2 linked regions of the Saccharomyces cerevisiae S288C genome follow. The gene in region 1 interacts genetically with each later gene. Each region holds a gene or a part of one and is shown in the gene's direction. Other genes may lie near its edges.

What was found.
Region 2: mutations in INP2 (region 1) and SKN1 together harm fitness more than expected from each alone (negative genetic interaction), as found in Saccharomyces cerevisiae (one large-scale study listed by BioGRID).

What each region holds. Positions count from the first base shown.
Region 1 is NC_001145.3:582,075-589,677, reverse strand, and holds INP2 (Inp2p), read left to right. Parts: upstream 1-3,289; coding exon 3,290-5,407; downstream 5,408-7,603. Other genes in the region: MSS11 (Mss11p), read left to right, coding at 128-2,404; aminophospholipid-translocating P4-type ATPase DNF3, read left to right, coding at 5,757-7,603. UniProt on the Saccharomyces cerevisiae protein: Required for peroxisome inheritance. Acts as the peroxisome-specific receptor for the myosin V motor MYO2.
Region 2 is NC_001139.9:771,160-779,116, forward strand, and holds SKN1 (beta-glucan synthesis-associated protein SKN1), read left to right. Parts: upstream 1-4,033; coding exon 4,034-6,349; downstream 6,350-7,957. Other genes in the region: VPS62 (Vps62p), read left to right, coding at 1-813; BTN2 (Btn2p), read left to right, coding at 1,295-2,527. UniProt on the Saccharomyces cerevisiae protein: Required for synthesis of the major beta-glucans of the yeast cell wall.

The sequences.
Region 1 (7,603 bases):
AAGACCAGAAAGATTTCTATTGCAATCCTGTGTGACTCTTTTGGTTTTTCCCTTTGGTATCTCCCGGTTCTTTTGTCAATTTTTCGTTAAACTGCAGTGAAATAAGAAAAAGGTGCATGATAAAGATATGGATAACACGACCAATATTAATACAAATGAGCGCTCTAGTAACACGGATTTTAGCTCAGCTCCCAATATCAAAGGTTTGAATAGCCATACTCAGTTGCAGTTTGATGCGGATTCTCGAGTTTTCGTTTCGGATGTAATGGCTAAGAACTCTAAGCAATTATTGTACGCCCATATTTATAACTATTTAATCAAAAACAATTACTGGAACTCTGCCGCAAAATTTTTAAGCGAAGCTGACCTTCCTTTATCTAGAATAAACGGATCTGCTTCGGGTGGGAAAACTAGCTTGAACGCCAGCCTGAAGCAGGGATTAATGGATATTGCATCTAAGGGTGACATTGTTAGTGAAGATGGGCTATTACCTTCGAAAATGCTGATGGACGCTAATGACACGTTTTTACTGGAATGGTGGGAAATTTTTCAATCATTGTTCAATGGAGACCTAGAATCTGGGTACCAACAGGATCATAATCCTTTAAGAGAGAGAATAATACCAATTTTGCCAGCTAATTCTAAATCTAATATGCCTTCCCATTTCTCTAATCTCCCACCAAATGTGATTCCACCAACTCAAAATAGTTTTCCAGTTTCAGAGGAGAGTTTTAGGCCCAATGGTGACGGAAGTAACTTTAATTTAAACGATCCAACCAATCGAAACGTCTCCGAAAGATTTCTATCGAGAACTTCCGGTGTCTACGACAAACAGAATAGCGCTAATTTTGCACCTGATACTGCTATAAACAGTGATATTGCTGGGCAGCAGTACGCAACTATAAATCTACATAAACACTTCAATGATTTGCAATCACCAGCACAGCCCCAGCAATCATCTCAACAGCAGATCCAGCAGCCTCAGCATCAACCCCAGCATCAACCGCAACAGCAACAGCAACAGCAACAACAACAACAACAACAGCAACAGCAACAGCAACAGCAACAGCAGCAACAGCAACAGCAACAGCAACAACATCAACAGCAGCAACAGACACCGTATCCTATTGTCAACCCACAAATGGTCCCTCATATTCCATCGGAAAATTCTCATTCAACCGGACTTATGCCTTCAGTGCCTCCTACAAATCAACAATTTAATGCACAAACCCAATCTTCAATGTTTTCAGACCAGCAGCGCTTCTTTCAATATCAATTACACCACCAAAATCAAGGACAGGCGCCATCTTTTCAGCAAAGCCAATCTGGCAGGTTTGATGACATGAACGCTATGAAAATGTTTTTTCAGCAGCAAGCACTACAGCAAAATTCACTACAGCAAAATCTTGGAAATCAAAATTATCAATCTAATACACGTAACAATACTGCGGAAGAAACTACGCCCACAAATGACAATAACGCAAATGGCAATAGTTTATTGCAAGAACACATACGAGCCCGCTTCAATAAGATGAAAACAATTCCTCAACAAATGAAAAATCAAAGCACTGTCGCAAATCCGGTTGTTAGTGATATAACATCTCAACAGCAGTACATGCATATGATGATGCAAAGAATGGCGGCTAACCAGCAATTACAAAATAGTGCCTTTCCTCCAGACACTAATCGTATAGCGCCAGCTAACAACACTATGCCATTACAACCAGGAAATATGGGGTCTCCTGTCATTGAAAATCCAGGTATGAGGCAGACTAATCCATCCGGACAAAACCCTATGATCAATATGCAGCCCTTATATCAAAATGTTTCTTCCGCAATGCATGCGTTCGCTCCGCAACAACAATTTCATCTACCACAACATTATAAAACCAATACTTCAGTACCACAAAATGATTCTACCTCCGTCTTTCCTTTGCCTAACAATAACAATAACAATAACAACAACAACAATAATAATAATAATAATAATAGTAATAATAGTAATAATAATAATAATAATAATAATAATAATAATAATAGTAATAATACACCCACAGTATCACAACCATCATCAAAATGTACTTCTAGCTCCAGCACAACTCCTAATATAACTACAACAATTCAACCCAAGCGGAAACAGAGAGTGGGTAAAACAAAGACCAAGGAATCAAGAAAAGTTGCTGCAGCTCAGAAAGTTATGAAATCTAAGAAACTGGAACAAAATGGTGATTCAGCTGCTACAAACTTCATCAATGTCACTCCAAAGGACAGTGGCGGTAAGGGTACCGTAAAAGTTCAAAACAGTAACTCGCAGCAACAACTAAATGGCTCTTTTTCTATGGATACAGAAACATTCGACATATTTAACATTGGTGACTTTTCTCCTGATCTAATGGATAGCTAAAACCTATTAAACAACAAAAAGTGTTTCATCGTCATTCTTCCAATACTAACCGTTGCATCTTTTCTTTCATATGAGTAGTATGTTTCTAATTTGAATCTTTAAGAAAATTGTTTGTCTGTATTTGTCGGAACGATTTTTGGGATCATCGTTCAGTGCAGGTGTATCGTTTCTCAAATGAAGTGTGAAACTTACTTCTCACTTAGGTTTTCAAAATAATGGCATATAAAGATGGTCTAACATCTATACATATTTTTGACCAAGCAGGAGTCAATCGTTAGAGTAAGTGAGTATATCAGTTTAGTTATTTTAAATTAGACAATGTAATGGAGGGGTGCCAGTGACACTATATAAAATAAAAAAAAAATTTGCATCTGGTGCGCAATAGCGTTCTTGTAACCAAATTTCTATTCCGGTCGAATTTAAACTAGCAAGAAAATAGGTAAGCAAGCTATCTGGCCAGCTAAAAAGACGGTGCCTCAAAGTTTTCGGAATTTTTATATTTAATTCCTAACATATTTAGAGAAATGTAGCATACTCTTTATACAGAATTCTCCAACTTACTATGGTTTCGTGGTCTAGTCGGTTATGGCATCTGCTTAACACGCAGAACGTCCCCAGTTCGATCCTGGGCGAAATCATTTTTTTGAAGACATCCCGCATGAAAACATCAAAACGTAAATAAAAACACTTGATCTGAAAATAAACTAAACATTCATCTTCACCCAATATCATAAATGATTAGGTGACTACCGGATACTAGACGGTTATAGGAGTTTTATCAAAGGTCAAAATCTCACCCCCTCAATAACTGCTCGGCATACCTCACGCTTATTGCAACAAGTTTGTTTTTACTTACTTGTGAAACGTTTGTTGATTAACTTAATAATGACAACAAACTCACGTCCATCCGCCTTGCAGGCTCCCGGTTTACAGATTTTTTCCATGCTGAAATCAAGCGAAGAGGATGGATTCATGAGTTCTAGTCTAACCCTTGATAGTGATAACATAATAGGTGTCACCGAGAACAATCGTCAAGAATTTTACTCTACGTGGCGAAAACCGTCCCTATTAAGCAGCCGCAGCGTATTACATGAATACTCCCCTACAATTGTGGGATCTAATGACTGTACTTTTTCACCTATAACCGTAGGAAAAACAACGAAGTTTTTTAATTGGGATGATATTATTTCAAGAATTTTCATGCAACAGCCATTCGGTGTAACACACCAATTCTTTGAAGAATTTCGGTATTCAATCATTACTTCTCATTTTTTGAATGATATGAATCATTACAGGTTATCACTACATCTTGATCAATCTATTATGAACTTTCATAAAAGCTCAACTTTGTTAAAGAATGTACCTCCCAAATCTGTACCATTTATGGCGACAAAATATGGTAAATTGGCGGTAGCAGAGGACAAAAAATTATATTTCAGACAAAATTTCAACTACCTTTCGATGATTATAACCTCTTATCGAGTACTTACACAGTTGAAAAAATACTGTAGAAAAAAAAATAGTCCAGGTCTGAAGAGAGTTGTAATTTTAATACTCGTAGCAGTGTATTTATCAATTCAGCAAGAATACTTTCGAAGACATTTGATTTGCTATAAAACCTTATTAAAGGTACGGAAAGTGCTCGAATCATTACAACAAGTGGATGTAATGATTCATAAATATCATCTTCGATTTAAAGAAATAAAAAATCATAGTTTTATATCAAGAGTGTCTCTTATTTCAATTGCTGACGAGCACTCATCTGTGATAAAAGAGCTCCTAGTATTCTCAAGTGATGCACTGTTTTATAAACTCAAATCAATCATTCCAGATATTGTCATCTTTAGCGATACAAGTGAGCTATCGAAATACTGTGAATTATACGGTATCGATGTACCAAATCTTTACTATAATAATACTACCACAGTAAAAGACCTTGATGGTAAGCTTTATCGTCTCAAACTGCTAAAGAAATTTATGCTCTGTTGTTTGCTGTCTTTAGATATGACAGGAAACGAAAATCTTTCAAATGTAAACATGAGAAACGCACTAAACAAAATCTTTCCAGATTACATGGCAAGGGTGCAACTCAAAAAAAAATATAATCCAATAGGTACATTCCAAAATATAGTTAGTCTATTAAGAGGATTACATTCACTACTCTCCACTGTCCTGGTGTCTTTGAATGACCATAAGCAAATATTGTATGCATTTCCTGAAGAAACATCAACTAATACTGGTTGTGAAAGAGCAAATGTATGTTCATTTTCAAAGAATGATAAATTGTTTCAGGCACTTAATTACTTAAAAATGATCGAGAACAATCTATTAGCTATTGACATTCGAAATGGCATAACAGAGAATGATAGGAACATCATTGAGGATAAGTTGGAGGAGCTCATTACTTTCTGGAAAACCTCGAAAATTTGTGGCAATATTTCTAGGATACAAAAGGTATCCCCAACCAATACAATCAACCATGGTTTCCATCTGGATATCCTCAAAGGCAGAAAGTCACCCCGTTCTTCGTCAGTACAAGGTCTTAGCTTAGAGAGGAAAGTTGACTTCATTGATGTTGCTGAATCGGTGAATGACTCTTTTGAAAACGACACCGAACTAGAGGAATATGAAGACTACGACTGTCAGGAGGAATGTTCTGCCGGTTCACGCCAAAATCACCGCGTAGATTTTATCGGAAAGGATAGTTGTAGGAAACCAGATTTCAAGCAACTTTCTGACAACGAATTACGACGCAAGTTAGATGAAAGAATTTTGAAATTGGCTCAAGAAAACCGTGAAGGCAGGGAAAGGCTAAGAACTGCAAAGTCCTTTGAATTGCTAAGAAAAGCTCAGGCTTCCATGTCCGTAAAGTTTGGCTTTCAAAAACCATTAAGAGACGATGCCTTTCTTGAGAGCAGGCCTCTCAGCAAATGCAAAGTATCTTCGGAAGAAACTATCCCATTTTTGTATGAATTAAAAGGATTACTAGGAAATGATTCATGATAATATATTTTAATATGTACTTTGAAATAACTAATTACACTTTAATCATATTTTCTAAATAAGCAAATGACGGGCTGCGCAGCCGGGTTATTTTCGACCCCAGTCTGTCAAGTGCTTTAAGTAAGCGAATATTTAACAAAGAAGAATTCAATATTGCAGGAAGTCTTGAGAAAAGATCAAGTGCCAAATTACCCCATTGCTTTTGGACTATTCATTCACTCTTTTCTTTTTTGTTATTTCTTTTATTTGACCTTTATCGTTATATACACATAGCTTCCATACAGCAAATAAACATCCTAATTGAAGTAGATAATTTAATTCCATTCTTTATTAAAAAGAAAAAAATATTATGGGCATAGCTGATGGGCAAAGAAGAAGATCTTCATCACTACGAACGCAGATGTTCAACAAGCATTTGTATGATAAATATCGCGGAAGAACTGATGATGAGATAGAGTTAGAAGATATAAATGAGAGTAAGACGTTCTCCGGTAGCGATAATAACGATAAAGATGACAGAGATGAAACAAGCGGCAATTATGCTGCTGAAGAGGATTATGAAATGGAAGAGTATGGTAGTCCTGATGTGTCATATAGCATTATCACTAAAATACTTGATACTATCCTAGATCGAAGGAGGACGTTCCATTCGAAAGACGGTAGACATATTCCGATTATATTAGATCATAATGCAATTGAATACAAACAAGCTGCTACTAAAAGGGATGGTCATTTGATAGACGAAAGGTTCAACAAGCCTTACTGCGACAACCGAATAACTTCATCAAGATATACATTCTATTCCTTTTTGCCTAGACAGTTGTATGCACAATTTTCAAAGTTAGCCAATACTTATTTTTTCATTGTCGCAGTATTACAAATGATACCTGGATGGTCTACAACTGGTACTTATACAACTATTATCCCCTTATGTGTATTTATGGGTATATCCATGACAAGAGAGGCTTGGGACGATTTCAGGAGACATCGTTTAGATAAGGAAGAGAACAATAAACCAGTGGGAGTGTTGGTTAAAGATGGAAATAATGACGCACAAGAAGTTTATACACTACCAAGTAGTGTTGTCTCATCCACTGCATATCTAACTAAATCGGCCGCTGCTGAAAATAATCCACCTTTAAACGATGATCGGAACTCCTCTCAAGGACACTTCTTAGACACGCACTTCAATAACTTTGAACTACTCAAGAATAAATACAATGTTCATATTCATCAAAAGAAGTGGGAAAAACTTCGTGTTGGAGACTTCGTACTTCTCACACAAGATGATTGGGTACCTGCAGATCTGCTTTTATTGACATGTGACGGCGAAAATAGCGAATGTTTCGTTGAAACGATGGCTTTAGATGGCGAAACAAATTTGAAAAGTAAACAACCCCATCCAGAATTAAATAAGTTAACCAAAGCCGCATCAGGTCTTGCAAATATTAATGCTCAAGTTACCGTGGAAGATCCCAATATTGATTTATATAATTTTGAAGGTAATCTTGAATTGAAAAACCATCGCAATGATACCATAATGAAATACCCTCTAGGTCCTGATAATGTCATTTATCGTGGTAGTATTTTGAGGAATACTCAAAATGTTGTTGGTATGGTCATTTTCAGTGGTGAGGAAACAAAAATCAGAATGAATGCTTTAAAAAACCCAAGAACGAAAGCCCCTAAGCTACAAAGGAAGATAAATATGATTATCGTGTTTATGGTGTTTGTCGTTGCCACAATATCTTTATTTTCTTATCTTGGCCATGTTTTGCATAAGAAAAAATATATCGACCAGAACAAAGCATGGTATCTATTTCAGGCAGATGCTGGCGTAGCACCCACAATAATGTCTTTTATCATCATGTATAACACTGTGATTCCTTTGTCCCTATATGTAACAATGGAAATTATCAAGGTAGTCCAAAGTAAAATGATGGAATGGGACATAGACATGTACCATGCAGAAACGAACACGCCATGCGAATCGAGAACTGCCACCATTCTGGAGGAATTGGGGCAAGTATCTTATATTTTTAGTGATAAAACCGGAACGCTGACGGATAATAAGATGATATTTCGGAAATTTTCTTTATGTGGATCATCTTGGCTGCATAATGTAGATCTCGGTAATTCTGAGGATAACTTTGAAGACAACAGAGACAATACGAACTCCTTGAGACTACCACCAAA
Region 2 (7,957 bases), on another chromosome or scaffold:
GGTTGGGTAGACGCGTTCTGGTTTTATTTCTACCCCTTCAATTGGGGTCCTTATATTATGGGCTCCGGACCATGGGGAAATCATGTAGGGGACTGGGAACATTCTTTAGTACGATTCTATAAAGGAGAACCACAATATCTATGGATGAGTGCGCATGGGGGTGGTAGTGCCTATAAGTTCGAAGCCATTGAGAAAATCAAAAGATTGCGTCGTGTTGACGGTAAATTGACAAACGAGGTTATTAAGAAGCCTTTAATATTTAGTGCAAGAGGCACACATGCACATTATGCATCAGTCGGTCAACATGCGCACGATGTTCCGTTTTTCTTTATGCCATTGAGTGACTTTACTGATAGAGGGCCATTATGGGATCCTTCTTTAAACTATTATGCCTATACAGTGACTGTGGGGGAAAAAATGACACCATGCGGCGCTGAAGAAACTAAAATGGGACTAGAATGGCTATCGTTCAAAGGCGCTTGGGGCGATAAACAATTAAGACCTAGGGATCCCAGACAAAAATGGTGCCCATTTCAATGGAAATATATTGACGGACCAAAAGGTCCACTATTCAAAAATATGGAAAGGGTTTCTTTATGCCAAAGATTTAAATGGTGGAATTTTTGGAAGGGCTGCCCGGCAAGAAGATATATAAAAAGAGGGGAAGGTTTGGATGCAGAAAAGAATGATCTTGTGGGTGACAATTGTGGTATCTTGCTGTACAACATAAGGCCAAAGTGGCTGCGTAGCATACTCCGTTTTTTGACGTGGAGGGGAAGCGTATGTTTCATTATGGACTACTTTACAGGGTAATGAATATTTGGGCGTTTTTCGCTATTTTAGCATGCTGTAGTGTATGTACTGTGCATCGTCATGTAGCACTATTTCAGCCGTATTTTTCTTTTTTTCTTTCGCACCGTCTGTGGTTGTAAAGTTACTGACACTTTTTTTTCTAGAAAGTTCCGGAAAATTGCGACACTCGGTGGAGCTCGAGAGTTGTATCCAGTTTTCTTGTTCGGCGATATTCCGAACCAGGTCGGGTTGGGCTAACAGCCGCCCAGGATGGAAGAATTAAGAATTTCATAGAAGCCTTCAGTTCTTGGCGAAGTAAAGTGGCAAAACAAATGGAAGATCTATTGCATTACATATATAAAAGCATTAGAACAATCTTTTCTCATTGACAGGTATTCTCATTGCTCTATATATATTTTCTTCTTCTTGAAAGAAATATCAGTATTACAATCATAACAACAACCAAAAGAAAATAACTAATAGACCCCATTACAATATAGAAATGTTTTCCATATTCAATTCACCATGTGTTTTTGAACAGCTGCCATCTTTTAGTCAGCCCCTACATTCGCGTTATTTTGATTGCAGTTCTCCAGTGAGCTATTATCCAGAATGTAAAAGGAGGAAAGCAATAAAAGCTAACCTAAGAGCTCCAAAAAAAAGCGATGCAAATTGTTCAGAACCTTTGAGGTATGCACTTGCTGAAACACCAAATGGTTATACATTAAGCTTGTCTAAGCGGATTCCATATGAACTTTTTTCAAAGTACGTTAATGAGAAATTAGGTGAGCTAAAGGAGAACCATTACAGACCAACTTACCATGTTGTCCAAGATTTTTTTGGAAACCAGTATTATGTTGAAGATGAAGCGGATGAAGATGCTCTATTGAGATCTGCATTGAAAGATCTGGATTTTAGAGCCATAGGAAAGAAAATTGCTAAGGATCTTTTCCAAGACTACGAAATAGAATTGAATCATAGAGGTGATGAATTGAGCATATTGAGTAAGAAGGATAAAATCTTTAAGGAATTCTCTCTAGACCAAGTGTTTGAAGATGTTTTTGTTATTGGCTGTGGAGTTGAAAACATAGATGATGGCTCGAGAGAAAAATATGCACTTTTAAAGATTGGTTTAGTTAAGCATGAGGAAGAAATTTCCGAAGGTGGCATCAACGAACCAAAGATGCCAATAATTGAATCCAAAATAGACGAGTCTCACGATGATGTTAACATGTCTGAATCTTTGAAGGAGGAAGAAGCGGAGAAAGCGAAAGAACCACTAACCAAAGAAGACCAAATAAAAAAATGGATAGAGGAAGAAAGATTGATGCAGGAGGAAAGCAGAAAATCAGAACAGGAAAAAGCTGCCAAGGAAGATGAAGAAAGGCAAAAGAAAGAGAAGGAAGCCAGATTGAAGGCAAGGAAAGAATCTTTGATAAATAAGCAAAAAACCAAGAGGTCCCAGCAAAAAAAATTGCAAAATTCCAAATCATTGCCTATCTCTGAGATTGAGGCCAGCAATAAAAATAATAATAGCAATTCTGGTTCAGCAGAAAGTGATAATGAAAGTATAAACAGTGATTCTGATACGACTTTGGATTTCTCTGTGTCTGGTAATACACTAAAAAAACACGCTTCACCCCTATTAGAAGACGTTGAGGATGAGGAAGTTGACAGATACAACGAGTCCCTAAGCAGATCTCCCAAGGGAAACTCTATTATTGAGGAGATATAATGGGTGATAATACATACTCCCCATCTTTCATTTTTACGGCATTAAATAACTAATTATATGCATCTTATATACTACTATAATTCACTGACTTTATGAAAGGAATATAAATCGGCACGGCAGAAGGCGGATTTATTTTGTTACAATATAACAAAATAAAAGGGCAACAGTAAAGTAGAAATTATTAGTATCCGTGATTTTAGTACAATTATTTGCTTCCTAGAAATCCGGTTTTCCATGTTAACATTTATGCTAGTATTTTATGGTGGAATGGCAAGTGATTCACAAAATACAAGCTACTTTATCGAATGATTGAAATTCATTTCTGCTTGAATAGAATTCAACTATCGTTTATCGATTCTATTTTGAGGATTCCTATACCCTCGAGGAGAACTTCTAGTATATTCTATATACCTAATATTACTACTGTTATTAACAATGGAATCCCAACAATTATCTCAAAATTCACCAATATCTCAATTCCATCTTTAGAAAAATTAAGTTCAAATTAACGGAAACAGTAATCAAGTAAAAGAGCTTTTTTTTTCTTCTCCCCTTCCTGCCCTGAAGATAATTGAGTAAATGTTACGTTGAGAATGGCTTTTTGATATTTCATTAGATTTACTTCATTATTCTTCTCTATTCTCCCCTTTCATCAATTAATTGGGCGTGTGGCGTAGTCGGTAGCGCGCTCCCTTAGCATGGGAGAGGTCTCCGGTTCGATTCCGGACTCGTCCAAATTTTTTTACTTTTAATGAGGTATACTGGAATATTACGGCTCTTTTTTTTTAGAAACATATTCCTCAAATGGGTAAACGGACCCTGGTGCAAGGTGTGGGTGCTGAGACAAATACGATCTGAGTTGTTTTAAAAAGGAAAACAAATGAATGCGTGCCCAAAGCGGAAAATTGGTCAACATCGATGCGTAATTAGTAGGCCCAGGTGAGCCTGTGCCGAACATGTATCTCTGCGCAGATTACTATATATTCCCGAGCATAACAGCATATAGTTTTCTTTCACATAGGCCTTCCTCCAACTGCCATCACTGTACATAGACGTTTCGGCACTGTATATTCTTGTCCCTTTTTTTTTGCCTACTACATTGCTGCATTCAAACGATATCGCTCTGCGAACCGTTTAAAACTGACCAAAATAGGGAGACCTACCTTCTAAGGAGAAAAAATTCGCATTGCTAAAAAAAAGCTAAAAGAGAAAGAGAAGAAGAATATTAAACCAGTATATTCTACTACAACTATCGATTTACTCCGACTACAAAGTGCCTCTTCGTATTTTCAGTCGCTCGAAAAAACAACCCATATTCCATTTGATTCTACGCAGCTGGTAGAAACTTTTACAGGTTTGATAAAATTATTACAATCGTTAGCGGTTACGCAAGGAATAGGAAATAAAGAAACGGTAAATAATAAGAAAAACACAGCAGATCTAAGCCTATTGCACACAGTATATTATAACCATTACTAGCTAGTGTTACATAAACAATAGCAGAATATGTCTGTGCGAAACCTCACCAATAATCGTCATTCCAACAGCGAAAATAGTGTTTCCGGAAGCGAAAACTCCTTTTATTCCTCGAATGAGCAATCAAGACAAAGCTCATCATTAGAACCTGCAGATGGTCAGAACGTTAGGGTGAGCGGTAATCCTTTCCTTGGAAGTGAAGAATTTGACGAAGATTATAATTCACCCAGTGGAGACGATGAGCGGCGTGGGGCAAATGAATATTCCAGTTCTTCATCCATAAATTATAATAACGATCCTAACAGCGATACTTCTCTTCTGGCTAATGAAAAGAACTCACCCGAGAGAAATGGTCAAAGAATGTCAGACTATAAGGGCTATTATGCTAAGACTAACCTAACTTCTGCTAATAACTTAAACAATCATAATAACAATAATTATAAGAACATTATAAGCAGTAGTAACGATAATAGTTTTGCATCACATTTACAGCCGCCGGACAGAAACTTACCGTCTCATCCTTCTTCAAATAATATGAGTAGCTTTTCTAACAACAGCTTAATTAAGTCTCCACCACCTTTTGACAGATATCCGCTAGTAGGAACGAGGCATATTTCAGCGGCTCAATCTCAGTCGCAGAACCTTATAAATGAAAAGAAAAGAGCGAATATGACTGGCTCATCTTCTTCTGCTCACGACTCTTCATTATCATCCACCAACTTATACATGGGCGAACAGGATTTTTCGCCCTTTGGCGGTTATCCAGCTTCCTTCTTTCCGTTAACGTTGGACGAAAAGGAAGACGATGACTACATTCATAATCCAAATGTCGAGGAAGAAGCAAAGTTAGATAGAAGGAGGTTCGTTGACGACTTCAAACACATGGATAGAAGATCTTTCTTGGGGCTTCTGGGTATTCTATTTTTATTTATGGCTGGTATATTTATTTTCATTGTATTACCTGCAATTACATTTTCCGGGGTAGTTTATCATCATGAACATGTTCATGCGGCAAATTCAGCAGGATCGTCGTCTTCTAATACTACATCCAAGTCATTGACTGAATATCAATATCCTCAACTTGCGGCTATAAGGACAACTTTAGTTGATCCAGACACACCTGACAGTGCGAAGACAAGAGTAGCGAAAGATGGATCTAAATGGCAGCTGGTGTTTTCCGATGAATTTAATGCTGAAGGTAGGACCTTTTACGATGGCGATGACCAGTTTTGGACAGCTCCTGACATCCACTACGACGCTACGAAAGATCTTGAATGGTACTCACCAGATGCCGTTACAACTACAAATGGTACCTTGACGTTGAGAATGGATGCATTCAGAAACCATGACCTTTATTACAGATCTGGTATGGTACAGAGCTGGAACAAACTCTGCTTTACAGAAGGTGCGTTAGAAGTTTCCGCGAACCTCCCTAATTATGGTCGAGTTACAGGATTATGGCCTGGTATGTGGACCATGGGGAACTTGGGCAGACCAGGTTATTTGGCGAGTACTCAAGGTGTTTGGCCTTATTCATATGAAGCATGTGACGCTGGTATAACACCAAACCAAAGTTCCCCAGATGGTATTTCTTACTTGCCGGGACAAAAGTTGAGTGTTTGTACTTGTGATAATGAGGATCATCCAAATCAGGGAGTTGGAAGAGGCGCACCGGAAATAGATATTTTAGAAGGTGAAGCTGATACAATTTTGGGTGTTGGTGTTGCGTCACAATCTCTACAAATTGCTCCATTTGATATATGGTACATGCCCGATTATGACTTCATCGAAGTTTATAATTTCACCACAACAACTATGAATACTTACGCTGGTGGGCCTTTTCAACAAGCTGTCTCAGCAATATCCACTTTAAATGTAACATGGTATGAATTTGGGGAGGAAGCAGGTTATTTTCAAAAGTATGCCATTGAATATCTCAATGATGACGACAACGGATATATTCGTTGGTTTGTGGGAGAGAACCCTACTTTCACACTATATGCTACTTCTTTACATCCTAGTGGTAATATTGACTGGAGGAGAATAAGTAAGGAGCCAATGTCAGCGATTTTAAACTTAGGTATTTCCAACAACTGGGCCTATATCGACTGGCAATATATATTTTTCCCGGTGACAATGTCAATAGATTACGTCCGATTATACCAGCCGAAGGGTTCTACGTCCATTACTTGTGATCCTGAGGACTACCCGACATATGATTATATCCAAAGCCATCTAAATGCATATTATAACGCCAATTTAACTGATTGGGAACAGGCTGGATATACTTTCCCAAAAAATATTCTAACAGGAGGTTGTAGTAGTTCAAAATTCTCATTATCCTGAGGTTGATTTTTTTTTTTCAACTGGTTAAAACCTACTATCTAAGTGCGCTTTAATTCTAAGGAGGCAAAATAGTCTGCGGTCACAGTCGTTGAAAGTTCTAGATTTGGGTACGGAAGCAGCCATGTAAATGGTCTTCCTTTGTAATAATATCATCACTGGAGTTTTTAAATTAGAGTACGGATTCAAGTTAGCGAAAAATTTCTGTTGGTATCTGATAGCAATTTGTCGACAAGGTGGAGAGTTTTTGAAGTTTTTTTTTGTAACAGTTATGTTACACTATTTACCAGAGAAACACCAAGACAGGAGCCCTCAGAAGCTTTCGTGTTGTCAGAACATAAATATCTTCTATATGTTTTAATCTTTTATATTAATCAATATTTTATGTTAAATCATATTATTATTCGTTAATGGTTAACTTGCGCTATTTCAAAATTGGAAGGATAGTGTGGTTACAAGCGGTGTTTTTGATGTATGTTTACTGCTAAGAGTATACCGTCCTGTTTACTTTTTTACCTTTTGTTCCGTTATTGATTTTTCGCAGCAAGGTTGAAGCTTCAAATTTGAAAATGAAATTAAGACGTAGAGATGAAAAACAGCGATGAAATTACTTTTTATAGCTTCTTTCCCATCTGACTCCGTTTTATAAACAGGGGTTCTTTAAGGGCTTACAAATAAATATAAACACTAACACATATATATTATTCGACCTACAGTTTTTGCGACCAATGAAGTTTACCTATTTTGAGTTAGTGCTTACGTAGTTTGCTTAAGGTCAAGGTGGTATTAAGCTTGCGCTTTCTCTAAATAATATCATATGGTACAGACAGGGATAAGTACTTCATAATAAACCAATTGCTAGTCCAGTATTTTTGGTACCCTCTTACTGCCGCGAAATTCAACAACTTTTTAACTCGTGAAAGAGGTTAATATTATTATTCATTTTGCTAGAAATACTACTAAACACCCCATTAGGAAGCTGGTAAATTATGAAATCAGCAAAATAAGATCCAACCGGAACGAATTTATTAGAAGCTCAAACACAAGGGTTGATAGTGTGATAAAGGAAAGGGGTGACAACGTGTAGAGGGTAAAACTTATTGATTCCTTTTTGTGGATTCCTATACCCTACAAGAACACTGTTGGATATAGACATTATATGCAATATTAATTATGCGACTGATAGGCTTCGTAATTCCTGCTTGAGTAAAGACAAGAATTTTCATTTCTCATTAACTGTTTTTATTTATAACCTAGGAAAAAAAGGAGCTGAAAATTTGTTGGAATAAAAATCCACTATCTTATATCAACTAGTATTCCTAATGTCAGTATATTGTCATATAAGGCGTTAGATGGTGACATAAGGTATGAAAAGTTGCCATCGAAGTTAGAGGAAGCTGAAATGCAAGCATTGATGTAATAGGATCAATGAATATTAACATATAAAACGATGATAATAATATTTATAGAATTGTGTAGAATTACAGATTCCCTTTTATGGATTCCTAAATCCTTGAGGAGAACTTCTAGTATATCTACATACCTAATATTATAGCCTTAATCACAATGGAATCCCAACAATTACATCAGAACCCACACTCTCTTCAATTA